Linked DNA regions of Lonchura striata. The protein of the gene in region 2 interacts with the protein of the main gene of each other region in a pairwise test. Links are inferred from orthologs where the notes say so. Each region holds a gene or a part of one and is shown on either strand. Other genes may lie near its edges.

What was found.
Region 1: the proteins of PEX6 (region 2) and PEX26 come close enough for resonance energy transfer, tested with the Homo sapiens proteins (2 studies listed by BioGRID). The link is inferred for Lonchura striata from reciprocal best matches to the Homo sapiens genes PEX6 and PEX26.

What each region holds. Positions count from the first base shown.
Region 1 is NC_134607.1:13,650,469-13,665,074, forward strand, and holds PEX26 (peroxisome assembly protein 26), read left to right. Parts: upstream 1-7,921; coding exon 7,922-8,088; intron 8,089-8,460; coding exon 8,461-8,601; intron 8,602-9,597; coding exon 9,598-9,911; intron 9,912-10,603; coding exon 10,604-10,750; intron 10,751-11,147; coding exon 11,148-11,251; 3' UTR 11,252-13,828; downstream 13,829-14,606. UniProt on the Homo sapiens protein: Peroxisomal docking factor that anchors PEX1 and PEX6 to peroxisome membranes. PEX26 is therefore required for the formation of the PEX1-PEX6 AAA ATPase complex, a complex that mediates the extraction of the PEX5 receptor from peroxisomal membrane.
Region 2 is NC_134605.1:18,916,819-18,931,818, reverse strand, and holds the start of PEX6 (peroxisome biogenesis factor 6), read right to left. Parts: upstream 7,413-15,000; coding exon 6,558-7,412; intron 6,482-6,557; coding exon 6,321-6,481; intron 5,647-6,320; coding exon 5,563-5,646; intron 4,901-5,562; coding exon 4,798-4,900; intron 4,629-4,797; coding exon 4,492-4,628; intron 4,410-4,491; coding exon 4,298-4,409; intron 1,694-4,297; coding exon 1,485-1,693; intron 1,346-1,484; coding exon 1,153-1,345; intron 816-1,152; coding exon 739-815; intron 645-738; coding exon 512-644; intron 1-511. Other genes in the region: VSX1 (visual system homeobox 1), read right to left, coding at 11,399-11,664, 12,284-12,464, 13,380-13,503, 13,764-13,842, 14,209-14,578. UniProt on the Homo sapiens protein: Component of the PEX1-PEX6 AAA ATPase complex, a protein dislocase complex that mediates the ATP-dependent extraction of the PEX5 receptor from peroxisomal membranes, an essential step for PEX5 recycling.

The DNA.
Region 1 (14,606 bases), on a different chromosome or scaffold from region 2:
GGAAGATCGAGGCAGAAACTACATGTTTATTATATAAAGTGTTTTAATGCTTTCAGCCTAACTTTTGGTAATGATTTACAGGGCATACTTCCCTGCTAAGACTATTTAAAGTCAGCTCCTTTGGGGATTTAGGATGCAGTGAATCTATCCCCTAAAATTATTCTACTAACTTTCTAGTATTGAATTTCTCCTGGTGAGTACACCTTTTGGAATGAGACAGCCTTGCAAGGGGAGCTCAGAATAGACATATTGTTCCAGCAGCTCAAAGTGCATTGGGAATGTGAACTGCTGTGAACTGCCACTTGATTTGACACAGAAAGACTGATGTAGAGTCCTGACATGGACAAGTGTTCCTGAATACAAATTTGAGTTATTTAAGGTTTTGTTTCCAATCATCAGAGCTATCATCAGTCACATCTGTCCATCCACTCTCCCTTTCAAATTCACCATGACCTCCTCATGGCCTTATTTTGCTTAACCTTGCTGTGTTTACAGTGACCTCTATCCTCATTACTTGGTTGTATTCGGAGTGCCAGGCTGACACACCAGCATGCAGCTCTCTCACTCACAAAGACACTCCATGAGAAATGTAAGGGCAGCTGCTCTCTATCCCTGAGAGCAAAAATTAAGTTCCCAATCCCTGGTAGAATCCACCTCATTTTCCATCCTCGAAGGTCTGGTCAGAGTTCATACATGAGTCCTATTTCCATTACTTTGGTCTTGAGGGATTTTATTTTGCTGGTGTACACAGCTGCAGTGTACTCTTGATCCTTTGCTTTACCTTCATCCATTTCTTTTTATTCAGATATATTGTAACACTGTCTAAATACAACTGAAATTACAAATCAAATAAGCCTTTTATCAGGTAGGAAAGACAATAACATTATCCTCTCTGTTCCCCTGGCTACATCTGCTGAAGGATGGTGGCAGTGGGAGATAGGAGAGCTACAGCCTAAATTTCACTTTGATAAGCTAAAAATATTGTAAATACAACTTGTTCCATCTAGGGTGTAGTTCCAAAATATATTAATTATAGTTTAGTAGCTTTTCTGCCACGTTTCAAGGCAGTTCTTTCAGGCTGTCTACACTGAGTCATTTTTTGGAAATAAATTTTTTGGATCTAACATTAAATGAGAAATTATTTTGGATTTGGTAATACAGACTGGGTTTTCAACTTCCTCCTTGAACAGGCATCTGGAACAAAAATGCGTCTAGAAAATTTTGGCTTGCCTTTTGAGTCTGCCTGGGCTTAGGCTGCTCCCAAAGCTGAAAACCTCACTGAGAGACAAGGGCTGGATTACTCACAGGCTACCCTTCCCCCAGTGTGAAGAAGTAACCAGGTATGTTCAAGGCTACATAAACTAATTAGACATCTAATCCTACCTTTGTCTGCACCTGGCATTGCCAAGAAAGACGAGAAGGAGCAGCAAGTAGGGGAGGTACAGAGGGCAAGAGAACATCAGTTCATCAGGGAAACAGGGCCAATACACTGCTTGAGACATTAATCCTACACACAGTATAAGCACACCTCTCAAACAGGTGAGACCCTGAAATAGCACACAGATCTTCCAGAGGACAGGAGAAATCCTCCCAGAAGAAAGGTGCTGCACATTCATTGACTAGGTTAAATAAAAACCTCACATGCTGTTCATAAAAAAGCAATTACCAGTTAATTACTGTATCAAGTTCACAAGCACAAACAGCAAGCAGGGCAGTTCTGCCCACCACAGCCAGAGGGGCACACAGGGGGTGCTCTCTGTGAAACACAAGACACAAAGGTTGCACCAGCATCAGCCCCTTCCCTGGGGATTTCTCCTGAGGCTCAGGTACTGCTACCATGCAATGCAGCATTGCTAGCTTTCCTAAAGCAACCTCACATCACAGCTTTTGGAAGCACCAAGAGACCTGGCCAGGCAAGAGCCAGGACCAGCAGACTGAGATGGTAAAGAGTTTGTTAGCTTCTGTAGTATATTCTGAAATTTCCAATTCAAGATGCAGGAGATGCATTGCCTGCTTGTAGAGATAATTAACGTAGATCACAGTAAATGTGCATTCAGAATGAGAGTCAGATGACTGACAGACACTGAAAAGAAATACTGACGTGTCAGGAAGTTAGGTTAAAAACAAGAAGGACCTTTTTCTCAAATTGCCTTGTTTGCCTTGTGGTACAAATAGTTCCAGGTGATTCGCACTGTCAAGCCTCTCTCCCCATCATGAGAGCACAAGGCTCGCTTTTGAAAAAAGAGGAAAGGTGGAGACTAATGGATGAGAGTTGATTTTGGCAAGCTGGGCCTTGAGAAGTGGTATTAACTGTTAGAGGGGCTGTGACTCTAAAGCGATGAGCAAAGAGACGCTGTGCTAGGCAAACAGGGTGTAAGTGACCCACACTGATGACAGGCTTCAGTATTTTCTCACAGATAATAACTAGCTGAAGAAAAGAAGATGCCTTAGGCCTCTAGCCAAATTGGTCACCTTACAGCTATGAAATGCCCCACCTAGCACTAATTATGACTATTATAATAGTAACAATTAAATCAAAGTAACTGCTCCTAATCTTTGACAGCTGCCTTGCCAAGGCGAGTATTTTGTTTGATTATGAAGCAAAGAAAGGAACTTAACTTAAAATTGCCCTTTGTTTCAGAAAGGTTCTGTTATTATCTGAGTAAAACTCAAGTTTTGACAAGTTGTGAACACATCCCTATGTTCCCAGTTTCCTAATTTCCAGTGTTTACACCTCACACAGTGTTTGTTCATCTGTGATGAAGGCTGAGACAGAGATTGGCTCTTCTGTTTTATGTGATACCCCCCAACTGGACTGTGGCTGTGGCTGCCCTGTAGTTGTCTTTTCTGCCTTGTACTACCCTCACCTGTTGTTTACATAGGTTTGGATATAGCCAAAATCAGACATGAGTGCATTTAAATGCACTGACTAGGAAAATCAGCAGGTGGGCCCAAACTCAGGCAAGTCTCCACTAAACAGTTCTATTTTTGAAACAAAAGCCAGGTTTGATGCTGTGCCACAATGCTTGGTGAGATAAGAAAGCACCATGGGCCATCTGTTCAAAGCACAGCCAGAGAGCGTTCACCTTCCCCCAGCCCCGGGCTCTGCAGACCTGCAGAGGGAAGCCCTGAATCTGGGCTAATTGAGGGGATCTGCAGCCAGCCAGCTTCATATTTAATAGGGATTTACTGCTGATGGAAATTACAAGCGAATTACAGATTCCAACACGTCATGGTCTTGCCAGAGTCAAACAAAAGCACGTGGTGATAAGAACAGGGTGCTGCACACTGGGACCTGAGGTGTCTGTGGACCTCATTGCTTTGTTAAAGTATTGCTGATAAGCTGTGAGGTACTACAGAGCTCCACATCTTTCCTAGAGACTATGGTTTCCTCAGTTGTGTTTATAATGCCATTTGCAATTTCCAATTCTTCTGCTTGTTTTTATAGGAGTGTAGGAGGGTTTCTTTCTCTTCAAATCAAATCATAGGGCCTCACCATTTCTAGCTCAAAGTCTCCCTAATGCTGCTAATCTCCTATTAACAGCCTACTGACACAGAAGAGACAACAGAAAAAGACTGATTGCCAGCCCTCTGGCCCTGTGACCGTGTGCTGGTCAGATCTGGATTTATAGTTGAGGCGATTTACCTCAGGAGGCCTTGTCACAGGTGCCTGTAACTCTAAACTCTCCTCGAACTGCCTGGCAGGAGAGGGAGGAGGGGAACCAGTAAATCCACAGATGATGCACACACAAACAAGGCCCTGCTGAAAATAATTTTTCTTCTCCTATACAAAATCAGGATCACTGTGGGAAAAAAAAACTCCTTGACTTCATAAAAAAGGCAACGAGCTGGGCATGGACATTACACCCAGGACACAAAACCCACTGTGGTACTCACTCAAACTAACTTGTCACTGACAGCAAGTTCGTTTAGCTTTTCTGGTCGCTAGAAATTGCTATCCAAGAGCACAGGCAAACATCCTGCTTCCCTCCTGTGCTTGTGTAGTAGGATAGATTGCCCTGTTGTGTATCTGTATTCAAGTACAAGAGCGACCCTTTCAGCTTTAAGACAATTTAAGCTGCTCCCATTCAAGGAAAGATGGAAAATCAGCGTGGTTCTTATTTGGCAACAAGTATCCATGTGACAATTGGGTTCAGCAGCCCAAGCAGTCTCGGGCTCTCCTCCGGGGCTGGTCTGCGCCTCCTACATTTGCCGTGCCCGCTGTGCTGCTCCATGACCCTACATAGCAGGAGGAGGGTGCTGGGATGCCTGGTGCAGCTGACCAGCTGCACTTGACGTCAGCCAGCAGCAGATTGTCCACACAGAGCATCTGAGCTGCACCAGGAGTCTGCCTGATGCCAGCCAGAGAAACAGAGGCAGGAGCTGCTGCTGCTTGGGTCCAGGTCAGCCACCCGGGCTTCACGTGTGCCCAACAGTGGAGCTCCAGCATGTCTCATCTCCACGAAGATGATTATATTTCAGAATGATTTCATTTTGCTCGTTAACAAATTGTCAGTAAAATAGGTAATTGTTCCTGGCCTGAAGTTAAACAATCCGGTTACCGAGTGTTATTTGCAGGTCAGAGAGCTGCAAGAGGTTTGGCCTTTAAGGCACCACACTGTCCCCTCTAGGAAGAGGGGTGAAGTACAAAAACATTCTACCGTGCCTTGCAGAGAAATTCATTTAACCTATAATCATTGGTATTACAGGGCTGCTTGTCCACTTTGGCTTCTCACACAATCACACACTGCAGCTCATGCAGAGCTGCCGTTCAGAGCAACTCCTACCTCTCCCTGACCCTTCCCAGCCCCTAACATAACTGCATCAATGTTGCAGCTCACTGCCTTTCCATAGGTATTTATTAATCAGGTGCATCTGCAGGGAAACAGGATCTGACTCGGCAGCACAGCTGCTCCTGCTGCTCGCTCCCCCACCCGAAACAACAGCCCCGTTCCAAAAGCTGCCTCCGTGACCGCAACACCTGCTGCAAACATCACCAGAGCGATGCTGGGCTGCCCTTCTAAGGGATACAACACTACTGGCTGCTCCCCATGAAAGAAATCCTTCAACAGCATCTTTGCATAAAACAAACGTACCTTGGTTTTGTGCTGTCTCACTCCTTTTCTGAGTCTCAGTGAGGAGCATCCAGCCAGTGTGAGTCTTTTTCAAACTTGATTCCTTATCCATATTTGGGAATTTGTGCTGGGCACTAGCTGGTACGAGGCACGTTCTTCCCACAGTGCACTTTGGGACTTGTAGTTCCCAAAAAGGAATGTTGTTTTCCAAATTGCAAGCACCGAGCAACAGAAACAGAAGGCTGAAACGCCTTTACCTCTGCTTTTGCTTGCTGCTCGGCTCTTCCTTTCACATTTGTCTGTGCAGTGGTTTCACCTTAGCCAGCCCAAATCCTTCAGGAACCTCTTCCACAGTTAAGAGCAGTGTGCCAACCCCTTGGATTCACTACTGTGTAAAGCTGCTACTGCAGAGTGCTCCTGCTGCAGCCGAGAGGGGCAGGTACATGGTCCTGCCTCCTGCAAAAAGCTATCTAGAAAAAGAGAGCTCTGATCAAGTTTTTAATCGTATTCGCCACACTGAAATGGCATAGAAAATCCCCTTTGAAAGATGCGTGTTTTGCATGTTTTGTATGTAACCCATTTGATTTTTAATTAAATAATCATAGTAGGGGGACAGATAGATGTGTCAGCTGTTTAAAAAGGTTACAGGATAAATCAATCCTGTCTCTCCTGTAGGGATCCATTTTTGAAGAGCGTTTGCACTGACTGCGGTAATTACCTTGTAACCAAGACACCCTGTTGTTTTTAAATAACAACAAAAGGAGAGAGTGGGAATCGCTGCCTGCCGGGTGCTGCCGGGGACGTTATTACGGCCGAACTCCATTAACAGAGTAAACTGCGGGCACGAGGTGCGTGAGGAGAGGCGGCCGGGAGCGGAGAGCATCCTTCAGCCGCCCGGGCGGCGCGGAGCGGAGGGCCGGGAGCGCTCTCCCGTTAGACCGTGCCGAGCGCCTTCTGCCGGGCCGAGGAGAGCTGGGACTCCCTCGGGGCTGCGACACCCTCGGGGCTGGGGCACTCTGGGGCTGGGGAACTCTGGGGCTGGGGAACTCTGGGGGCTGCGACACTCTCGGGGCTGCGACACTCTCGGGGGCTTGGACATTCTTGGGGCTGGGGCACCCTCGGGGCTGGGGCACCCTCGGGGCTGGGACACTCTGGGGGCTGCGACACTCTCGGGGCTGCGACACCCTCGGGGCTGGGACACTATTGGGGCTGGGACACCCTCGGAGCTGGGACACTATTGGGGCTGCGATACCCTCAGGGCTTGGACATTCTTGGGGCTGGGACACCCTCGGGGCTGGGACACTATTGGGGCTGGGACACTCTCGGAGCTGGGACACTATTGGGGCTGCGACACCCTCAGGGCTTGGACATTCTTGGGGCTTCGACACTCTCGGGGCTGAAATACCCTCGGGGCTTGGACATTCTTGGGGCTGCGACACTCTCGGGGCTGGGACACTCTTGGGGCTTGGACATTCTTGGGGCTGCGACACTCTCGGGGCTGAAACACCCTCGGGGCTTGGCCATTCTTGGGGCTGCGACACTCTCGGGGCTGAAATACCCTCGGGGCTTGGACATTCTTGGGGCTGCGACACTCTCGGGGCTGAAATACCCTCGGGGCTTGGACATTCTTGGGGCTGCGACACTCTCGGGGCTGAAACACCCTCGGAGCTTGGACATTCTTGGGGCTGCGACACTCTCGGGGCTGAAACACCCTCGGAGCTTGGACATTCTTGGGGCTGCGACACTCTCGGGGCTGAAACACCCTCGGGGCTTGGACATTCTTGGGGCTGCGACACTCTCGGGGCTGAAACACCCTCGGAGCTTGGACATTCTTGGGGCTGCGATACTCCTGGGGCTGGGACACTCTTGGGCTGGGACACTCCTGGGGCTGGGACACCCTCGGGGCTGGGACATTCTTGGGGCTGCAATACTCTGGGGGCTGCGACACTCCTGGGGCTGGGACACTCCTGGGGCTGGGACACCCTCGGGGCTGGGACACTCTCGGGGCTGGGCTGACGCCCGGCGGCCGCGGGGAGAACAGCCGAGGCGGGCTGTGCCCTCGGCCCCTTTCCCTCGGCAGCCACACGAGGGAGAAGATGAAGGGAGCGCGTTTTGGCAAGGACGGGCACCGATGTCGGTCCCAGAGCCACTCCCGGAGCGCCCGCAGAGAGCCCGCTTTCCACCGCTAATCTCCGGAGAGTCACAGCAGGGCTCAGGCTGGAAGAGATCACCGTGGGTCATCCCGTCCCACCTCCCTGCTCAGTCAGGGTCATCGCAGAGCACACGGCACGGCAATGCATCCAGGCGATTTTGCAGTATCTCCATAAAGGAAGACTCCACACCTTCTCTGGGCAATCTATTTCAGTGCATGGTCACCGCACAGTAAAGAAGTTCTTCTTCCCCCTGTCCAGGCGGAACTTCCTGCGCATTAATTTCTGCCCGTTGCCTCTTGTCCTATTGCTTGGTACCACTGGGCAGAGCCTGCCTTTATCCTCTTAGCACCTCCCTTTGGGTAATTATGCACATTAAAGAGGTCCCCTCTCGGTCGTCTCTTCCCAGGGCTGAACAGACCCAGCTCCCTCAGCCTTTCCTGGTAGGAGATGCTCCAGCCCCCGAGCCATGCCCGTTGCCCCGCCCGGCCCGGCAGCCGCCGACCTCCTGCGGCAGTGACTACAGGTCCCGGCGGCCCGCGGGCCGGGGATGCTCCCGGGGCGGCCCTTCCGCTGCCGGGCGGCTCCATCCCGGCTTCCCGGTGCCTGCCCGAGCGGAGCGGAGCCGGGCCGCGGCGGGGGCCGGCGGCCGAGGCGGGGGCGTGCGGGGCCGGGCGGAGCCCCGCGGCCGGCGCCATGCGGGGCGAGCCGCCCGCCTGGGCCCCGGGGCCGGCGGCCGCGCTGCTGGAGGAGGCGGCGGACCTGCTGGTGCTGCACCGCGACTTCGCCGCCGCCCTGCAGCGCTGCGAGGCGGGCTGCGACAGCCTGGGGCCCGTTCCCGGCCCCGTTCCCGGCCAGGAGAGGTGCGGGCCCGGCGGCTCCGTCGGGTGGCTCTGGGAAGCTGCTCGGTGCCGCTTCAGCGCCGGGCTGGCTTCCACCTTCAGGCCGCGCCCGCACTGCTTTGGGGTTTCTTTTAGCCCTGTCGATATGAATGTGTTTCGTCTGTGCGTTTTTTGAGGGAAGTGCGGCGTGCCCAGGAGCCTTCCCTTCGTTTTCTCAGAGTCACAGTGCATATCCTCGGAGGTCGAATTGGCCTTTTTGTAGGGGGCAAGTAGAGGGGGAAGAGGGGAAACAGAGAAGTGTGGTACCTGGGCTGCACTGAAGCCCACTTCAAGGGATGCAAGGGGAAATATGGTTGTAAGAAGCGCTTATTTAGCGTGTCTGTTCCTTACCAGTTTTGCAGAAGTGAAATGCTCCCTTTGTGTTGTGGGGATTCAGGCGCTGGCCGAGATGAACCGGTGGAGAGAAGTTCTGTCTTGGGTCCTACAGTACTACCATGTCCCTGAACATCTGCCTCCAAAAGTTCTGGAGTTGTGGTGAGTTTCTGTCTGTTGCTGTCGGATATTCACACGGGGCTCATGTTAAGTTTAATTGCAGGCCAGGCTTGGGTACTATGTGATATTTTTGTTATAAACAAAAATTGTCCAGCCAAATTAAAATGAAAAGTAAAATATTTATTTTGCAATCAAATTCTATCTAGCCAGCCACAAGGAAAGAACAGTGCTGAGCCCAGGGTCAGCCCTGGGTGTGCAACAAGAAGTCGGCCTCAGCAGAGATTTTCCTCTATGCCCACACATTTCCATCCTGGCACAAGCAGCTTTTATAGGGAAAATTCCACCTGAGGCCAAGATTTCGGCAGTCAGTCTTTTCTTCTATTCAGAGTCTATAGGTTAATAAGATTTTCTTATTTGGTGATGAAGAAGAACAATTCAGTGTCCGGGAGTTGTTGAATCCCTTGATGAAGTTTCTGGGAACACTGCATTCACATGTATCTGCCCGAGGATTTCCATGATATCCATCTCAGGTCACGAGATGAGCAGCGCCTGGGGTCCCCATATCTCTCCAGACATGGCCCATCTCCTGGTCGAGCCATGTCCTTGTCCTTTTACATGTAAATCGGGTTCTAATATACACCAGGTCTCACCTGTGAGGGTGGGGGGAACTCCTAATACAAACGTGTATACTCCAACAAATATTCAATATCACATATATCATACTAGAAATGGCACAAATTGTATCTACTACACATAATATTTTCACTTTGTGTGGTGTGAATGAGATCTGGGACAGGCCTTTTCTCTGTGTGCTGGAGCGTGCCTGCAAGATTGCTTCATGGTGACCAAGTCTAAAAGGAGTGATGCTGAGAGAGTAACATCAATAGCCACACCTGTTTTCTGCCTCAGAATTCTCTCTGTGCTTTGATCTTGACCCTGACTGATACCTCATGAGAGCTGCTCATGGATAGTAGCTGTCAGTGATGTCAGCTTCCAGAAAGACTCAGGGTTTTCTCATGCTTCTCCCTTGCATCTCAGTCTCCTGCTCTACAGCAAAGTGGGAGAGCCGCAGGTGATGCTGGAGGTCGGCAGCAGCTGGCTGAGAGCCCACGGCAACCAGAGGCTCCCCGAGTTCGGGTCGCTGCTGGAGCTGTACCTGGCGCAGGTGCTGCTGCCCCTGGGGCGCTTCGAGGGCGCGGAGGAGCTGGTGCGGGGCTGTGCCGTGTTCGACAGCGAGCAGCAGCTGGAATTCCTTGGCACCATCGGCGAGAGCCGCTGCCGCTGGACTCAGCAGGAAGAGACACGCTCGGCTGCTGAGGAGCAGCAAGACCCAGCCACAGAAACTCTTCTAGGTGGGCTTTCCCTCTGTTGTTTGTGCTCCTTTTTTACAGTTTCATTTCAAGTCAGCCCCTTACTGGCAAAGGGTAGCAAGTATTAGCTTCATATTAAGAATACTGCCATGATAAACGGGCCATGAGGAAATTAATTGTGTATCACAGCAGGAAATAAAAGACTTAATGACACCTTTGCTGAGAATTGCAAAGCATATGTAGTCTCTGCTAACATCAGAAGATGACAACTAATGCCCAGGATTGAAAGCACTGTGGAGGTTTTGCGGGTTTTTTTTTAAGTAAAAAAGGCTACCTGGCAATACTTTAAGGATATGTTCTGTTGGCTCCATGTACAGTTTGCTTCATTTCCATTTACAGTTGAGTCCAAGGAGAACAATGCCTGTCTAACATTTAAAGTACTGCTTCTTCTCCAGAGCTGTAAATCATTTGCTGTTTTCTCCCAGGACAGAAGCTGGCACTACTGTGGTATAAGATCAAATTGTAGTAGAGTAGATGCCTAAAAAAGAAGTATAATGAAGTGTATTACAAAATTGTACTCTTTCTCTGTTGTATAAAAAACCAAACCAAACCAAGCCCAACCCAACTCTCATGCAATCAGACTTCCAGTATCGTAGTTTCTTATTGGCTATATCTGTATGATTACTTTTTAAACTTTACTTTGCCCTAACAGCCCTTCTGTTCTTGTTTTCCAGGGGTGCTGTCCCAAAAGCTCCTGACCATGTTGACATTACTACGTAGAGCACTGAGGTCCATGTCAAACCACTTCTATTTACTTCCTTACAAGAAGATGCTCTTGGCTACTTTTTTGCTGTACCTGGTGGTGGTGAGATTAGACCCAGGTACAGGATTAAGTTTTCCAATTTTTAGAATTCCATTATGGTTATGGAGAAGAAGTGAGTTGCTTTTAATAAATCTGGTCTGTGTAAATGTCTCAGGGAGACAAAAAATCTGAGTGACTAGGAACTTAATGTGTTTAATGTTTCCAGCTGAAGTGATGTAGAAAGGTGAAGCTCCACAAATGCCAGTTTTCTGCAAACTTTCCAGCAGCCAAGGTACAGACTGTGAGAGGCAGGCAGAGCTGTCCTAGACTCAGCCTTTCCTCATTGAAGGAAGGAAGAGAACTAGGTTTTTATTAATTCTAGTTGGGGGTAGTTCTTTCTTAATATGTTTAGTGTATACTAGTTTTACCTAGTTAATTTTGCTAAGTTGGTTTTACCTTTTTGTTCTGCTTTGCAGCTTCTCCCACATCACTGCCATTCATTTACAAACTGGTCCAGCTCTTCCGACAGGCTTGGGCAGCTGTGCTTCCTCCAATCCATAGGCCTCCAATTCGAGACTAAGTGTCTTCCTCCACTAAAAGTGTCACCTTGGCTTGGGCATGTTACCAGGCTCTTCAGGGGCTCTTCAAATCTGAGATGTGGACTCCTGGAATTTCTTCAGACAGGGAATGGTGGTATATGAATTTCGAAGCCACAGCAAGTGTTCCTGACATTTTGCTTGGTCCTGTCCAACACTAGGGTACAGCCACTCTGTCCATACCTACAACTGAATAAGAATTCTCCTTTTCAAACACTTTGCTTTGGATGTGTGTCTCTTGAGTGAGGGTTGTGTAGCCAGTTATGAACTCTGGAAGAAGTTCTTATCCTTGCAAACGCTGAGCAAGTGTTCTCTGAACAAGTGCAATTCCTGGAGGACCAGTGATTAGGGGAATATTCTGTTTTCCCTGAAGACATCTGGAAAGCCCAGTTCCTGCAGCATGGGATTTAGGACAAGCACATTAAAGAAAAACACTGGAGAAATTAAAGCCTATTGCATTTTGAAAGCCATGTTTTTTCTCTTGTGACTGATGCCTCTTTGAACAGGCACACTGGATTTTAGTCATATTTAAGCCAGAAAGATGAGGAGTTGGGCCAAAAAGACTGTTGTGTTGTATCTACTCTTCTTAAATGCAAATTACAGCACTCAGTGCTTGTCTGATGCATAGTCATTCCTAGAAGCACTTGGTGGTGGTGGTAAGGAAATAAGTTTATTTTTTTAAATTCTATTCTATGTTATTGTATAATTGAACAGCTGAAGTTGTGGCTTTGTTTTGCTCTTTCCCTACCTCTTGCTTTGTTTATGTAGATGTCAAAAAGTCTCTCTGTATATCTAGAATTGCTCCCCAAGCCTCAGTATCCGAAGTTCTGGGTTAGATGGGAGTCATTTAGCAATGCTCTGTCATTCAGAACAAAAATTTATTTTTTATAGAAAGAGATACTTCTCTGACATCACACGACCTTCCCGAGATCATTGGTAAGAAAATTGTGCACCTGCAGGTCTGTCAGCAGACAGCTTCATTTCTGACCACTTGGGGCAGAAATTGGAGGTTTGGGGTGGAACATTAATTTCTCCTCCATCCATTCATCCATCTATCATCAGCTGACAAAAGGTAAATTCCAAGGAGGGAGCACTGATCTAAAAAAATACTGCTTTTAAACTGTTGTGTGCTGGAGGGGACAAGTTAAAGGCGAGAAACCTGGGACAAATTGACCTCTGTCATCCCAGCACCTGTGCCAAAATGGTGCAAACTCACGGATATCAGCCCAAACTACAAAATGTTGTCAGAGCAGCCTTTTTGGTGGGATCTGTTGCTTTGCTCCCTACTGGGGCACTTAGCAAACAGTCTCATCTTCACTACTAAAAACAGTTGTCCGTTTCATCTTAAATTATCCCAAAAAGAGCTACACCCAAGCATTATTGTCAGACAAACTCAGGTTATTTGTGAGTGTAATAATGACCTTCCCTAGTTGTCTCAAGAGATTTTAAAACCCAAACCAATCCCATATGCATGCCTCCCCAAAGTTTTTGTCTGCCAGGACTTTACACCAGGTTAAGTAGCACATATTTCCATATAAAAAAGTAATTTCTCATATACTCTGCACACACAGGGAAGAGCAGCCTTTGATACTGCTTTGGTATTGATATTTCAGTTTATTACTGAAACCAACACTTGATGTGAAATCAGATAGAATGAAACACAGAAGCTCTGTCTGGAGATGAGCTCTTCCAAGAAATGACCAGGATCAGTCCTCTGCCCCCCTGCTTTGCAAGGCCTCTGGTTAAATCCTTTGTAAGCCAGTTAATGAAATGGCAAACTTCACTCTTGAAGTCAGGCCAAATTCTCATCAAAGTGACTGTTAGGTAATGAACAATTTTAGCTGTAATCTTCTGGCATCATTTTTAGTTGGATGGCAGAGATGCTGTTTTGGAGGTTGGTTTGGACCAATGGTTTCAGCAGGCCATACATTTTAGGATGCTGTTAAGTGTCCTTTACTAGGACTTTTAACATTCAACTTTAAGTGTAGGTTGGTAACCTTGACTTTATTGGAGTACTACTGATTTAGAATTTATATTGTTTTTAATTCATCATGAGAAAGCAAGAAGGCAGAAATAAGCTATCAGGGTTTTTTTGCAATTAATACTGAAACTGCAGTATCTAATTTTTATAATAAAGTGACTACTGATTTACCTCTGTAGAGTTGCTTGTTTGTGCTGTGATTTGAGTATATGAAAAAAAGAAGTATTTGTTGTATTGATACACTAAAAAGTATATCATAGTTTTCAAGAATTGTTTCACATTGTTTCATAGTTTCAGCCTATTTGAATTAAGTCGAGAATGTCTTCAGTGTGAATCTGATGAGATTTAATCCACTGATGATGTTGGTAAAGTGTAAGTCTGCATTTTGGCATGGGCAAGACCAATACTACCAAGAATAAAGTATCTGGTATTCATCATTATTAGATAAATGTATCTTTATATTATTTACAACTACATTATATATTATATATAATACTATATATTATTTATAACTACAGTTCTGACCTTAATGTATTAGGGGAGAAAATTATACTAATAAAAAGTAAAAATACATAGCACAGTTCTCTGTTTCAGGGATAATGCCTGAAAACCAGTATTTTTATCAATGTAGGTACTTCATTACTAGGTTTGGGAAGTTCAGAAATTCTGAAATGAGATGCTGCTGGTTCTCCCAGCAGGTGGCAACAGACTAACAGAAAACAATTATACAAGGAACACAAGGAAAGTGTTTAAATCTTCATTCACTTACTGAGGAAGGTATTAAAATGTGTGGGAAATGCAAAGACTTACACATCGCAAATGAAAAGCAAAAGAGGATTTTGTGTGATCACCTAAGAGCTTACTAAGAGTTCACTGTTTTGTAAAATGGCATAATAATGTTCTAAAATAATCCATAATTCTGACACTATTGGTGAGTCATTTAGGTACCAGGCTTTAGGGAGGGAGTGAGGTACATCCAGTAGAGGATAAAAAGCATTTAACTGTCCTTCATTTGTCTGTTGATGTATTTCAAACTCCAGCATATTGAGTTGTGGGAAGAAGGAGGAATCATGTCACATTCAGGGTGATGATGTTTGTCTGCCCAAGGCAGTGATGGAGCCCTGTAGTCCTGGTTGTAGCTGAGTACCTGCCTGCCCATGGGAAGTGTGAATCCACTCCTTGGTTTGCTTTGCTTGTGTGCACAACTCTTGCTTTGTGTGTTAAACTATACCTCAATGCACAGGTTCCCTCTGACTCTTCTGATTTAGTGCTCAGTTGCCAGCTGGGGTTAAACCAGTACAACAGTACTTCTGAGTTCTAGATTATTCAAAAATGCCATTTGCAGAGATGTGTCTATT
Region 2 (15,000 bases):
TTGACTGCTGGTTTTCTCAGACTCTCTGTATCACTTTCCCAGAAGAAACCCCAAGTTGTTCAAATTGCCTGTCTGTCAAAAAAGTCCATGCCAGCTCAAGCAGCATCCAAGGCCAGAGATCAAGTCTAAGACTTATCACACATGTGGAGAAACTCCCTCAGCAGCCTGTGCCACAGCCTCTCTGTTCCCTCAGGCCAGGTGGCTGGGGAGATCTCAGGGAGGCAGCCTTTGCCCCCAAGAGGCTGAGCTGCACAGCTGGCACCCCTCCAGCACCAGCCAATTAAGTCATCTGCAATTAGCACTGCAAGAGCTTTCCTGGAAAATTCCAAGCCAAGAGGGTAAAAATTGATGGGAGGAAGTCCAGAGGACTGTTTCCCACTGAAAGCTGAGGGAATACATGGAAGGACAGAGCAGGAAGCAGTATGTTAGAACACAGCCCTGCAAGATCTGTGACGGGCATCTTGAGCCAAGAGCTCTGCAGAACCGCCCCCCTTATGCCCCAACATCTCACCTTTGGGGCTCCCACTGCCTGTGAGTGAGCGTCATGCAGCTGGTCCAGTGCAGCACTAAAATCCTCCTCAAGCACCGGGAACCCTGCAGTGCAAAAATCCCTCTCCACTTCTTCACTCAGTCCGCCTGGAAAACTGGTGAGGAAAGAAAGGGAAAGGAGTCGGGCTCTGCCCCACTACTGACTGCAGCCCCTGCCCTCCCCACTCCCTGGCCTGCTGCCTGTGCTACCTCAAGGCCTGGATGCGGGTGCAAGCAGCCCGGCTGCTGTGGGACAACAAGGCACAGAAGTCTCCCAGCACAAATCCCTGTGAATGTGGAAACAAAGAGCATCAGTTCAGTCCTTCACCACAGCTACACCTAGGCCATTAAAAGTATGGGGGAAAATTCCTTGCAGAGCTGCTCCTTGCTTAAAGGCTCTAGCTTCATTTATTTCTTTTGTAGCAGAGCTGAACATCAGCCAACACCTCTGCAAAAGGTGGAGTCTGTAGGCACTAGAAATCTGCACTAAAAAGCTGATGTCTTTAACCACTGAAGAAGTTGTCTGGGCTGTGGGCATTACCCCTTTCTCCAAGGCCAGCTAGAGGAGATTGGCCCAGCACTCCCAGCCGGCCCATCCCCACATGCTGCTGTGGTTTTACTCACAGCAGTCCTGCGGGCCAGCTTGGACAGGCTCACTTCTTTGCCCAGAGGCAGGCTGGCAGTCAGCATGCTCAGCATCAACCTCCTCTGCTCCTCTGAAGGGGCTTCAATCTTCACCTCATGAAGGAAAGCAGTCTGCACATCTGTGGGAACATTCTGGGGCTTGCAGGTTGTGCCAATCACCAGGACAGGGTAGCTGTGGGGAGAAACGAGACAGTGCATGGTCTCAGCTCTGTGGAAATATCCTCTTACATTATCATCACATATGCCAACTCACTCTCCCTCGGCAGAAGCAATTACCTGGGATGCCCATAGCAAACGTGCAAGGTCCATACCTCAGTGCTGGGTCTGTGTCCAGGAGCAGTTGCCTCAGAGTAGCAATGACCCTGGCGTCCTCCCCGAGCCCATCTCGGTCTCTGCCAAGCACCTCGATGTCTTTCAGCAGCAGCACACAGGGCTGGTACTGCTGGGCCTGGTTGAAGGCCACCTGTACTTTCTCCTCTGTGGCTGCACTGGTGTCACTGCACAAACTGACGCAATCGACCTGCCAGACACACCACACAAGGCAATTGCAACATGCACGGCTGGGGGGCCTAGGACAACATTCCACAAAGCTTTCCACAGACAATTCAGGGCTCAGAGGAGATCAAACTCGGTATTTTCCAGAGACACATTCAGGTCATATTCAAAATAGGCACATTCTGGATGCCTTAGCATGGACAAATGGCTGTTTCTTCCTTCTCTACAAGAGGTGAGGTAGACAGGAGGGTCTTATCTGAAAAAAGTGAGGCAAAGGGACCACAGAAATCGATACAGTGGATATCACAGCTCAGCAACCTAAGGCAGAAGGGAGGTGAGAGCTGTGGAAGACAGGGAGAACAAAGCACCTTGCAGAATAGTGCAATTAGTAGAGAAGGAGGCCCAGGAAACTGCTCAACCAGTATGCAGGAGGAAGGCAAGGGTGACGGGTGTTTGGGGGGAAGTTATAGATGGCCAGAGGCCCAGACACTGTTTACAAAGCAAACACTTGATGAAGTCATCCAAGGGAAGAGGTGACTGGTGAGCCTTGAACAGCAGCCTGGGAACAGGCAGTGCTGCCTCCTGGTGCTGCGAGGTTGTCCAGGGAGACCCAAACCATCTCCAGGATTCCCTGAGTTTCATCTTCACAAAAGGCAGCCTGAAGCAGGGTCAACAACTCCCTAAAGGGTAAGGAGAGGGACACAGAGCAGAGGAACTCCTGTGCTCCATGTACTATAGAAAAAACCCAGGAGTTAGGGCTGTGACAGGCCTAATGGCAGCAGTGTCTGTATGCAAGAACTGAAAGGCAGAGAGAAAGGACAAAAAATTGTTTATCATCAAGTGGTGGACATTAGAGTGAGGAAGAATTACTGTGTCTTGGTGGGCTGTTAGACACAACAGTCAGAGAAAGGGAAGAGCAGGGGAATGGCAGTGTAAGCACTGCAATCAGTGAGAAAGGGAGGGGAGATTGTAAAAGCTGGCGTAGGAGAGTAAGATGCTCAGAAAATGTTTCTGTCTTTAACAGTAACTGTGTTAGTCTTTAAAAGCAGCACACAACCCTGAAACCAGAGCTGTAGCCTTGCACACACACCCCACTAGAACCTGAGGCCACCTGACAGGACATGGCAGTGACAGAGTGCTCCCAAGCACATCCTAAACATGGATCTGAAGGTCCTGTGAAATCCCTGCAATCCTGCATTGGATCCCAAGAGCACTGGCACATCTTCCGAAAAGTCAGAGCTCTGCACCACAAAGGATCATGTCCAGATGAGCTGCACAGCAGCGGGCCAAGGCACTATCTAGCTGCTCCACTGCAGTGTTACAGCTTTACTTGGAGAGAAAATAACAGAAAGAGAGTATACTCTAAAAATATCCACCAAAAGAAGGAGCAAGCCCACAATTTCCCTCCACAAAAAGAGGAATCTTCCAGCCCTATTCTTTCCGTTTTTCTTCTTCTTCCACATCCTTCCAGAATTTCAAAAAGCCTCCTAGAAAAGTCACTACGTGACTTCCTCTCATTTTTGCAAATGTATCTCTACAGATTCAAAGAAATGAAAGCATTTGGGAGATAATCCCAGATTGTCAGAGTGAACAAAAAAGGTATGCTGCAGGAAAATAGAAATTTTAACAAATCACTGAAGACTGTTGGTTCCAGAACCTTTTGTGTTGGACAGAGGCAGGTGCTAGACCTCATTTTGGCCATCCAGGCACATACCATTCCCATCAAAATGGCTTTTCCCAGTCAGAAGTGGTTTTGTAACAGTAGATTTCTCATCCAAATACTCTGACCTACACAGAGAAACATCTCCTTTAGCTTGCTTGCTACGACTGGCTTCATCTGACAGTCATAGGCCTTGTGCTGACACAGAGAAAAGGAAACACCTTCCATGCTCTGCTGACCTCTCAAGCTCTTGTGAAAAATCTCTTTCAAAAAGATCTCGTAAAAACTTGTATCAAACTATCTCTAAATTCTTTATTTTTCAAGCTGAAGAATTTATTCAGCTTCTCCCCACAAAGAAACTGGCCTAGACCCCTGATCTTACCCAGTGTCCTTCTCCAAATGTTTCCAGTTCAGTTTTATGTTTTTGTGATGGGGAGACCAGAACTGTGCATGATGTTCAATCTCTGTCAAGACATGGATTTGCACAGCAACAGCATCCACTCCTGAGTTTGTTCATAAAATGTGATCTGATTTTTTACACATATGAAGAGCAGAGCACAAGTTTCCATGGGGCCATTGCCATAAAACGAAATCCTTAATACTGTCAGTCAGCTGGAACTATATCATATTCCACATAAAACCAACTCCAGTGAATTTCACCTGCCACTTCACTGTTCTTGGCAGGGGGATGTGGTGAATGTGAACACAGTTACACAGCAGCTGTTTTACATGCCAAAAGATTTTGAGCCGGGTCTGGTACGTGAAACCAAGAGCTGCTTTTCTTTTCCCTCTCAGCTAAAGAAGATCTCAGCATCATTTGCGCCTCACTTGTCTGCATCTGCACATGGAAGCAGCTCCTGGATAGATTCGTGTCATGGCTGCAGCAGGGCTTTTGGCAGGGCCGACTTAAAAAAACATTTCCATAATTCTCTGTAAATCCACCAATCCACCGGCCACAGGAAGAATTACCTTGAAGAGGTGGAGGTTGAGGCAGCTACACACAGCTCTGACAGCCAGCAGCTTCCCGCTGCCGCTCGGCCCCGAGAGGAGAACGCTGCCCACGCCGCTCAGTGCACTGGCCCTGTAACAGACCCCTGTCAGGTTTCCCTGTGGCCATGGTCCCCCCCGTCTGCCAGGGCTCACTCCATGGAATTCTCACTCACCGACGGTTCAGGTGAGGCCGAAGAGCATCGCAGAGCTGTTTCACGACATCAGAAAGTCCCGCAGGAGACAAACTGCTCCAGAACTCATTGCTGTTATAGGCTGGGGCAGATGGCACAGTGCTATTTGTTGAACCCACCTGCAAGAATGCAAAAGCACCCAAGTAAAGACAGGTGCCAAGTGGCAAAATCTGTCCTGAAATGTCATTTTCCAATGGCAGGAGGCACAAGCCTCCACAGGTACATTTGTCATCCACAGTGCAAGCTCAGCCTCAGATTTCCTCTCTCTGCTCTCTACTAACATCTCACCAGATAGACAGACGTATTCTGGGTGTCCACCAGGTAACCCTCGGACTGCTCGTCTTCCACCATGCCTATGACCTTCTTCACCTTGAAATAAAGCTCTGGCCACCTAAGGGGAAAAAAACAAGCACTCTAAACTGCTTAGCCAAGATCTTGAAGGAAGGAACAATACAAATGTCAACAAGAAGATAGCTGATAAGCACAGGTAAGCAGAGAAACTCTTGTCCTCTTGCAATATGCACAAGGATCATCCAATGTGAATGTTGGGAATGCCACTGGGAGCATCCTGATACAAAGGGGACATTCTCCCATTTAGCACAACTGTTCTAAAGCCACATGAGCAAAACCAAGAAAGGCAGAACTGGTGGCCAAACAGAAAGGTTTTCTAACATGAGCTCCTAGGGCTTATATTTTGTTGTTTGTCACAAACTGAGGAGCCCAGCTCCCACTCTGCTTTCTTTATGTGGCTCTGACTGCCCTCAGGCCACTCCTTCCTCTTCACTCTTTATTCCTATCAGTGGCTCTACCTCTTGTTTTCCTTTCTTCCCTTCCTGACTATTCGAATGAGCTAACAGAGGCCTCCCTCTTAGCTTCAGCCCTCCACAATCCAACAAAAACATATCCTTCTTCCCAGTATATTGACAGATAAAACACTAAAATCCAGGGACATGTCAGAATGGAATAAACTGTCTGATTTCAAGAGAGTCAATCGTGGAAAAGTATCTCTGCTCTTCTGGTACCAAGTAATAGAGTCACAGTTCGTTGACCTACCTTAGGAACTTGTCTGCATTTAGTTCTATAAACTCAGCATTTCCAAATGTTGGAACACACAGGATGTCTCCCTCCTGGACCAGCCTACAAAAAACCCAGAGAGTTTCACCAGTGAAAGAGAGTAAATCCTTCTGGTTGTGTGCCCTCCCTGCCCTCCGTCGCAAGTGTTTTTACAGAAAATAATTTAACTATTCATACTGACTCATTCCTTGTCTGTAAATAAAACTTTCAATAGCCACTGAAAGATTTAGCACACACTGGATGGAAGCAGGCATACCCAGACTGCTAGGGGAAGGCTTGTGGGAATGGCAAAGAAAATTAGTGTCTTTATAGTGTCTCATTCAGACAAAATCTCCACCTTATCTCTGGAATAGCTGGGGATCATTCCAACAGATAACCTTAGAAGCCATATGAAAGATACTCAGCGCAGGCATCAAAAGAGAAGGTGACAACACATCCAGTTTCCAGACTACTCAGCTGAAAACTGAGATCATAAACACGGCCCACAGGGGAGGTTTGTGGGCTGCACTTGCAAGCCCTCACCACTGCATGGTGAATTATGAGGCAGGAAACTTGAAGATGACTTCTGAAGGACAGGACAAGAAGTGTTGTGTCCAAGCTGAGCATACTCGTCATAAGACAATGCGAGGGGATATTCTAAAACTACACAGCACCTGCCCCAGGGGCGTCGACGTGCACATCCCCGGTGTGTGGCACACGCACACTGTGCATGTCACAGTCCGCCCCGCAGAGCTCACCGCGGCGTCTCGAAGTGCCTGTAGAGCACGCAGTCGTAGCTTCCCCGGGTGCTGTAGGCCGGCGAGCAGACGATCTCCAGCTGCAGCTCCTTGGCGAACGGGGGCACAGACAGCACGGACCGGCTGCCCTTCCCATCCGCGGCGCCGGTCCTTTCGTACCTCTGCGGAGGGGCCGGGGCGCACCGTGAGCCGCGGCCGCCGCGGGCCCGCTCCCCGGGCTGCCCGGCCCCGGCTCACCTGCAGGCGGAGCTGCGCGGGGGCGGCGGGGTCGCAGCCCAGGTTGAAGGCCAGGGCCGGGGCCAGCAGCGCGGTGCCGTCGGCCAGGCCGCGCCGGGCGGCCCGCGGGTACTCCCAGGGCGGCGGCCGCGCCAGCAGCGCCGCCAGGTGCTCGCGGGCCGCCCCCTCCGCGCCCACCCGCACCCACTCGCCCTGGAACAGCCCCAGCGCCAGCAGCCCGCGCCGGCTCACCCACACCTCCGCCCCGCCGCCGCCCGCCCCGCCGGGCACCGCCCGCAGCCGCGGCCCGGCGGCGGCGGCGGCGAAGCGGGAGACGAGGGGCGGCGCGGCGGCGGGCGGCGGGCGGCCGCGGGCGGAGCCCGGCGGGGCGGGCGGCGGCGCGAGGGCGGTGCGCGTCCCGGTGCCCAGCAACCCCTGGAGCGCCGGGCGCGCCTCCAGCACCAGCGGGCCCGGCCCGGGGCCCGGCCCCGGCAGCGCCTCGCCCCGCCGCGCCAGCACCGCGCCTCCCGCCAGCCTCCCCGCCCGCCCCGCCGCCCCCAGCAGCACCCAGGCGAGCGCCGGCGGGCGCCGCACGGGCCACACGGTCACCCTCCGGCCGGCCGCCAGCCCCAGCCGCCGCAGCAGCGCCCCGCGCAGCCACAGCTCCGCGCCGCGCCGCCCGCCCGCCTCCAGCGCCACCGCGCTCAGCAGCACCGGCTGCGCCCCGCCGCGCCCCGCCGGCCGCACCGCCAGCACCAGCGCGCCGCCCCGCCCGCGCAGCGCCGCGCACAGCCCCGCCGGCGCCAGCAGCAGCGCCGTGGCCGGCGACAGCTCGGCCGGCGGCGCGTCCAGCGGCCGCAGCACGGCCACCGCCATCGCGCCGCCCGCACAGGCAGCGGGGGCGGCCCGGGGCGGAGCGCGGCGGCCGCCCCGCCCCGCCGAGGCCGCAGAGCGGCGGCGCAGAGCGGCCCCGGACCGTGCTGCGGAGATTGCGCTCCGGCGCTCGTTCCGGGCCGTGCCGGCCGCAGCGACACCCGGCGATGCCGGCCCCGTCCTCCCCGGCTCCAGCAGTCTGCAGCCAGAGCCTGCGGAAAGTGGGACAGAGGGGAAATGTGGCCAAAATGCGGGCGGTGCTTTTGCTGTTCCGTGCCCCACGCGAGCCTCACGGCCGCACAGTGTGGAATCGCAGGGAAAGGGCACTCGGAGCAGAACCGGAGCCCTCGCCAGTGGCAGCCTGCGATTTTGCGGGCTGAACACCTGCACCTGGTTTAAAAGAACGGACTTGTATTGGTGTTAGTGCTGAATTAACCTACGAAATCATAGCATAGTCTAAGTTGGAAGGGACACATAGAATCATCAAAGCCCAACTTCAGTCCCTGCACAGGACAGCCCCAGAGTATTGTCAAACACTCGTTGAACTCTGTCGGGCTTGGTGCTGTGGCCGCTTCCCCGGGGAGCCTGTTCCAGTGCCCCACCACCCTCTTGAGTGAAGAAAGTTTTCCTAATATCCAACCTAAAGCTCCCTTGATACAGCTTTAGAACCATTCTCTGGGGTCCTGTCACTGGTCACCACAGACAAAAGATCAGATCAGTGTCTCCCCCACTGATTTAATCGTGAGGAAGCTGCAGACCGCTATGGGGCCTCTCTTGCCCAGGCTGAACAGACCCAAGTTGCCTCAGCTGCTCCTCACATGGCTTCCCCTCCAGACCCTTCACCATCTTTGTAGCCCTCCTTTGGAAACTCTCTAATCATTTTAATGTCTGTTTTACATTGCAGTGCCCAAAACTGCCCCCAGCACTCGAGGTGAGGTTGCCCCAGTGCAGAGCAGAGGGGACAGTCCCCTTTCTCATCCAGCAGGCGATGCTGTGCCTGATGCACCCAGGACAGGGTTGGCCCGCACCTGAAGCAGTCTGGAGAAAGTCAGAGGCTCTGATCAGCGCCTGTGCCCTCTGCCAGAGGCTGCTCGTTGTACCCAGTGCCTGTTGAGGATGCAAGACGAGGGTAATGAAACACAAACCTCGCAGGATTCTTTAATTCTGCATCCACAGGAGACGTCCAGACGCGCCCCTGCAGGGGTCTGTGGGAATGAGGGGAAGGAGTGAGGCTTCCAGCCGCCTCTGGGCTCCAGCCAGCCTCTTCCTTTCCTGGGCTGTTCGCCGTGTCCCATCGCGCAGCTCCACACGAGGGAGTGCTTACAAAGCGTTCGGACTCGCTGCCTCTGAGCTCCCAGTCTGAAAATCCAACCTACAGCTTGGGAGGATTGGCCAAAACAAAGAGGCACAGATATTAATATTGTTTATGTTATGCAGAAATGGCACCATGAAGATGCTTCTGCAAATGCAGCCCTGCAGCCTTCTCTGCTCTGGGCCCATCACTGGGACATAAGAAAAATTTGACTACCGTTTTATCTCTGTTTTAAAATAAGGGAAATCAAGCAAAGGGAGTGGGACACTCCCATCACTGCCTTGCACCCCGCGGGTGCCTGGCAGTCAGCTTCCAGTCAGTGAAGAGATCTGCATGTGCAGAACACTGGCTTTGAATTTACTGTCTTTTCTTGCCTGGGCCACTGGGAAGGGATCTTCTGCTTGAGCAAGCCCAGCACTTGTGGCTGAGGGATGCCTGAGGCTCCTTATAAAGGCAAGCTCATGGCACCAGGCCCTCATGCGGTCACCAGGACGGCTGTGGGGTCTCACATGGGCAGCAGTGGAGATGTGTGCAAGTGGCAGCATTACCTTATGTCAGGGTCACACTCTTGTCACTGGCCCAAGCCTGAACCACCACTGGCCGAGCCATGGCTGGGTCTGGCTGCCACTGATCTCAGGATGGATCAAACCTAAAGCAACAACAAGAATGTTCTGCCCTACTCCTATTGCTGCTCCCAGCAGTGACATTGGAGGACAGTGGGCACTTCCCTGCCAGGGTTAGTTCAGGCAGCAAACAGTGACTCCCTGCTCCGAGGAGGGCACCAGACCCTGTCACCAGGAGCTGAGTCTGGGCAGTCACTGCCATCCACCAGCATCTGTACCCCACAGCCCAGCACGTGGGAAGTGCCTCGGGCCAGTAGCCCTCCTCTTGGCTCCTCCTTCCCAGCATGTGGTGAGAGCTGGGAGCCCACCAGGCACTACCAGGAGCTTGAGTGGTCTGCACCCTGTGCATGCTGGAACTACAGTGTCTCCCCTTGTAGCACTCGTGGTGGTGACGTGCTTGCTCTCACAGCACCGCAGCCAGCACAAGGCAAAGAGCCAGGCCATCTGCACGCAGGCAGAGCAAAGGGGGAAAAAAAAAAGGATTGCAAGCATCCAGTGCCAGCGTGGCACAGCCCAAATAAAAGGTTTGCAGATGCTGCTCAGGCAGGATTAGGCCTCCAATGTGCTAAGTCTCGGCTCTCAGTGAGCCTAATTGCTGCTGCAATAAGCCCTGGCTGGTCCTTTCCTGAACCGTGCTCTCCATAGCCCCCCCAGCAAACTTTTTTTTCCCCCAGCAAAGCTTGTATTTGCGATGCATATGTTACCCCTCCCCCAAGCCGCCTGGTGGGGTCTGGCCAAGCAAAGGAGGGGAAAAGCAGGAAATCTGCACGTGCCACTTACTGCTCTGCTCTTCCCAGGAACTGTCCCCACACTCTCCCCCTATCCAGCACAGTCTGTGACTGCATCCGTGAGAGCAGCCAGGCCAAGCAGCAGAGGCAGGACCAGGTGACAGCATCAGTACCTGGCCACACACCCCCTGAGCTGCAATAAGACACTTTCCAAACTAGAATTACTAATATTTTAATAAAACCCTTTGATAATTTTCCGTTATGTTTTGGTTGGTAGATGAAACTGGAGATATTCCAGGCGAGCTGTCAAGGCATGTGCATGGGCTGGTTCAGCAACTGCCATGAGATGTGTCAAAGAAAGGTATAAATTGCAATACAGAGCATGAAAACCAAAGATACAACACAATTTTATTTATGGATGTGTAATAAATAAATGGTGGACAATACAGGAAGAGCCACATTCAAAAATCCAGATTACTAAAGTGCTTTTAGACATAAATATAGGGTGACCAAGAAACAGCTCTGACATTAACACTTTTTACAGACAATTACAAAAGATCTTATGTCACTTCACAAAATTGTTTAATTGCTCCAGGGTACTATGGCTTGCTTTTCAAGAAGGTCTGTTCTATCATGCATAGTGTGGCAAGTGACATTCAAGAGTGTACAAAATCATTGCATAAACAAAAACGTCCTTACCCCCTTCTCCCAAATACGAGTTAAGGAAGATACACAGTGTAAATCCAGTGATAAGGCTGCACTGGCAGGCTAGATCCTCAGGGAGTATAAACCTGCCTCTCTGTCAGGTTACACCAGCTTGAGGATGAACCATACCATGTTTAAAAACCCTGCTGCTCCTCGAGGTGGAAGATTTGTGTGTTCAGCATGGAAGGACTCACACACAGGCGGTGCGCCGGGGTGGAGGTGCTTGGAGAAGGCGTCTGTAAACTCCTGTAAACTCCTGCACCATCCTTGCACCTTGTGTTGGAGGAGGGAGCAACTCCCAGTGTGTTGCTTGTCTTTGTGCTTCTGAATAGCTGGGGAAGTGGTCCCAGCATGGAGGAGAAGGGGGCTCCTCCCCAGCAGCAATTGGTGCTGATCACAATGTGCTCCCACCCTCGCACTGCTCTTGGCCCCTCTGCCACCCTCCACCCTAGCTCTGATGAAAAGTGAACAGCTTGAAAGTGAGGGGATATGTGTGCCCAGTTTTAAAATGCCCTGAATTCAGATAAAAGTTCCATTATTTAAGAAAAAAATATATATCAATAAATATTGTGGTCTCGCCAGGACGCTGTGAGGTCTGGCCTCCTCCGGGGCAGCCCAAGCTCAGTGGTCCCTGTCGTTCTGCTCTGTAGGGGTGTCCCCGTTGATGTACTGCCTCAGCACACCCCTCTTCTCATGCTTGGCTGTCCTGGAGAGGTCGATGGCTGTGTCCTCCAAGTCTTTTGCAGGCCCAAGCTTGTCAGAGCCCTTCTGGGAACTGGCCTGTGTCCCTTTGAGTTCCTCCTCCTCCTGCTCCATTCGCCAGCCATCAGCCAGCTTCTCTTGGCTCTCTGCCTTCCTGCTTACCTCCATGGACTTTTTGTGCATACCTTGCAGAGGGGAGAGAGCAAAGCCAAGGTTGCTTATTTCTGCTTGGGACGGCTCAGAATCACCTCCTGAATTACTGCTGCTTCCCTCAGTTCTTGCCTGCATCCCAAGGAAAGCTCTCTCTAACTACTAGCCTTTCCCATCCCAGAGCCCTGCCACCTGCTCTCTGCCACCTGGGGAGATGGCTTGTGGAAAAATTAGTCTGTACCTTCCCTGTAGCAGGGAAGGCTTACAGGGAGAGGTGTGCTGTAATGACCCATTCCAATCTGGATTTTGAGTTTGTATGAGCAGAGGGTAGCTCTGAGGTAGCTCTGAGATATCTTCAGTTTAAGGGCGGGTGGTAGTGACTTCTTAGATGCCTTGCAACTCCCATGCTGCCTGCTAGCACTGCAGAGTGATACCCACCCAGGTGCGGGCACCTGTCTGACACAGCAGTAAAAGGTTTTCCTTTTCCTAGCAGTACTTTGCAAGGAGGAAGTGGAAAACCGAGGGTACTTGGCAGTCTGTATACAGCTCAGGGCCAGGGAGGCCCCATTCATTTCTGGAAAAAGGCAAGGGCAGCCATATGAAAGAAGAAGCTGAGCCCTGATCCCCCCAGCAGCACCCCAAGTTCCCACTCACCCAGCAGCCATGGGGCGCAGGATCCCACCAGGCCACTCTTGGCAGAGTTGATGATGGACTCGGGCAGGGGGATGGAATGCCTCACCATGGCCCCATAGAGGCCGTACTCAGCCATCACGCTGCTCCGGCCCCAGCACTTCTCCCGCTTCCGCCACTTGGCTCTTCGGTTCTGAAACCAAACCTTCAGGGGTAACAGCCAGGAGAGCACGGAGGGGTGGGGTTGGGGAGGAGACAGCCCCGTGACCGGGTGTGCAGGGCCCATTGGGAATGGGGGAATGACCACCCAGAGCCAAAAGTCAGCCGTGGGGTGAGCGGAGGGGTTGGGTGGTGCAGACACAGGGTGTGGACACGCAGGTGGCACCGGGACGGCAGCCGGGGCGGCGTGTGGGGAGGGGTGTGAGGGAGGACACACACGTGGGTGTCAGAGAGGGGAGGAAGGGGGGGAGAGGGAGCACACATTAACATGAGGCTGATCGTGATACAGGAGGGTGATCCCAGCCAAAGTCACCCTACGCTGCTCCGCCAGCCCACAGGGCCTCCCTGCCTGATCCACAAATCACCAACCTGTCCAGAAAAAGGGCTCCATAATGCAGTGACCAATGATGACAGAAGGTGCTCAGGTCCCTCTTCCCACCCCACTCCTCTGTTTGAAGGTTCAAGGGAGTAGATATAAGCAGGCTGCTGCCCAGACCACCACCTCATTCTTAAGCCTCTGAGCTGTTCCATAGGGGAGCAGGATCAGGCCCTAAAATGCCATGTGTTCCTCAAAGGGGCAAGCTAGTGAGCAAGCTCATGTGTGACAGCTTGGCCCAGCAGCTCCAAATTGCTCCCAGCTCCTGCCTGAATGGGAGAACAGAGCCAAGTTGCCAGTAATAAGCGACTGCTGGGGCCAGTTCAGTCCCCTTGTTCTGCATGTCCATTTGGAGGCTGTTCCATGCTAGCAGGCAGAAGCTGAGCCTCCCCCCAGGCGCCCTGCAGTGTTTCAGTGCCACCACATTCCCACCATCTGCACCCGCTGTCACAGAGCAGAGGAGACAGCCAGATGCTGGCGGCCCACAGACTCCTCGGAAGAGAGAGGACCGCTGCAGCCACCTACCTGTATTCTGTCCTCCGGCAGTTCCGTCTTCACAGCCAGCATCTCCCGGGCATAGACGTCGGGGTAGTGTGCTTCATTGAAAGCCTTCTCCAGCTCCTCCAGCTGGTGAGCTGTGAATACAGTCCTGCCGAGAGGACAGAGCATCCTGTCACACTGTCCGGACCCTTGGGCAAACAGCGAGGCTGGCAGCCCCCCCCACGCTGAGGTTTTCCTCCGGAAAATCCTCCCCCTACCCCAGCTGCAGCCCTCCTCTTTCCTCCTTTTCCTCCCTTTATCCCCCTTGGGGATATTGACCGCCCCAGCCTGGGGATCGGAGGAACAGCGAGAGGATGGTGGCAGCAGCGAGGAGGTGAGAACGGGGACAGCCTGGCTCCCGGGCGCTACCTGTGCCGGCGTTTCTTCCTCTTGATCTGGGAGGTAGTCATCTTCAGGTCGCTGGCGTCCCCGGACAGGCTGTCTTCATCTGGCAGCAGCATGCGGGAGGGGAAGAGTCACGTTCCCGTCGAGAGCGGGGCAACCGAGCGCAGCTCCCCAAACACGGTTCCAGCCGCCCGCGGGGAGCAGGCGCGGGGCACGGAGGGGTCCCCTCCCACAGCTGAGCCCTCGGTGCCGCTCCGGTGATGCCATCCCGGGGCAGGGAGTGGGAGCCCACACTTGCCGGAGGGCCAAAGGAGCGGCATCCCGGCGGGACGGGCGGCACGGGAGCCGATCGCGCACCGCCGGGAGGATGCCGGCCGCGGCCGAAGGTGCGAGGCAGCCCCGGCAGTGGCTCCGGACGGGGGTCCCCGTGCGCGCCTGAGCGGCCACCCTCGACCCCGACCCCGCTCACCGGAGATGTTCTCCTTGTGGCGGCGGGCGGCGGGAGGTGGCCCGGGAGGCGGGCGGGGGCCGCGGGCGGGCAGGAGCGGCAGCGGGGCGGGCAGCAGGCACGGGGCGCCCGGGGCCCCCAGGCTGCACAGCAGCCCCAGCCCCAGCCCCAGCGCCCCGCCGCCCTCGTAGCCACCGGCAGTGGCGGCCGGGGGGGGCCCGGGGGGCGGCTGCAGCTCGGCTTCCAGCCCCAGCAGGTCGGTGATGGCGAAGCCCTTAGCCCGCAGCCCCGCGCCTCCCGGCCGCGCCGCCGCGCCGGGTGTCACCGGTACGGGCACCGCCACCGGCCCCGCCGCCGCGCGTCCCCCCGACGGCTCCGCCCGGCCCGGCATCGCCGCCGCCGCCGCCTGGCCCGGCCACCACCGCCCGCCGCCCTTTTTATCGTCCCGCCGCCGGTCTCGGCTCCAATCACACTCCAGGCCGGCGGGGGGGCGCTCCCAATCCCCGGATTAGCAGCCTCTGTCCCCCCTCCCGCCCGCACGGGTCCCGCGCCCCTCCCCCGGCCCTCCCAGGCCACCGCCCTGCCCCCGGCGCCCCCTCTCGCCGTCCCTCCCTCCGTCCCCCTCGGTCCCCGCCCCTCGGTCCTCATCACCCCCCGCCGGGTCCCCTGCGGTTTCGCTCAAACCCTCTCCAGGACCCCCTCTCAGTACCTGTCCCGCCCCGGCCCGGTCAACCTGTTCCCCCCCATGCCCCATAAATCCCCCTCACATCCCCTTGGGCTCCCTCTCCGGGTTTCCTCCCAGGAACCCCCTGC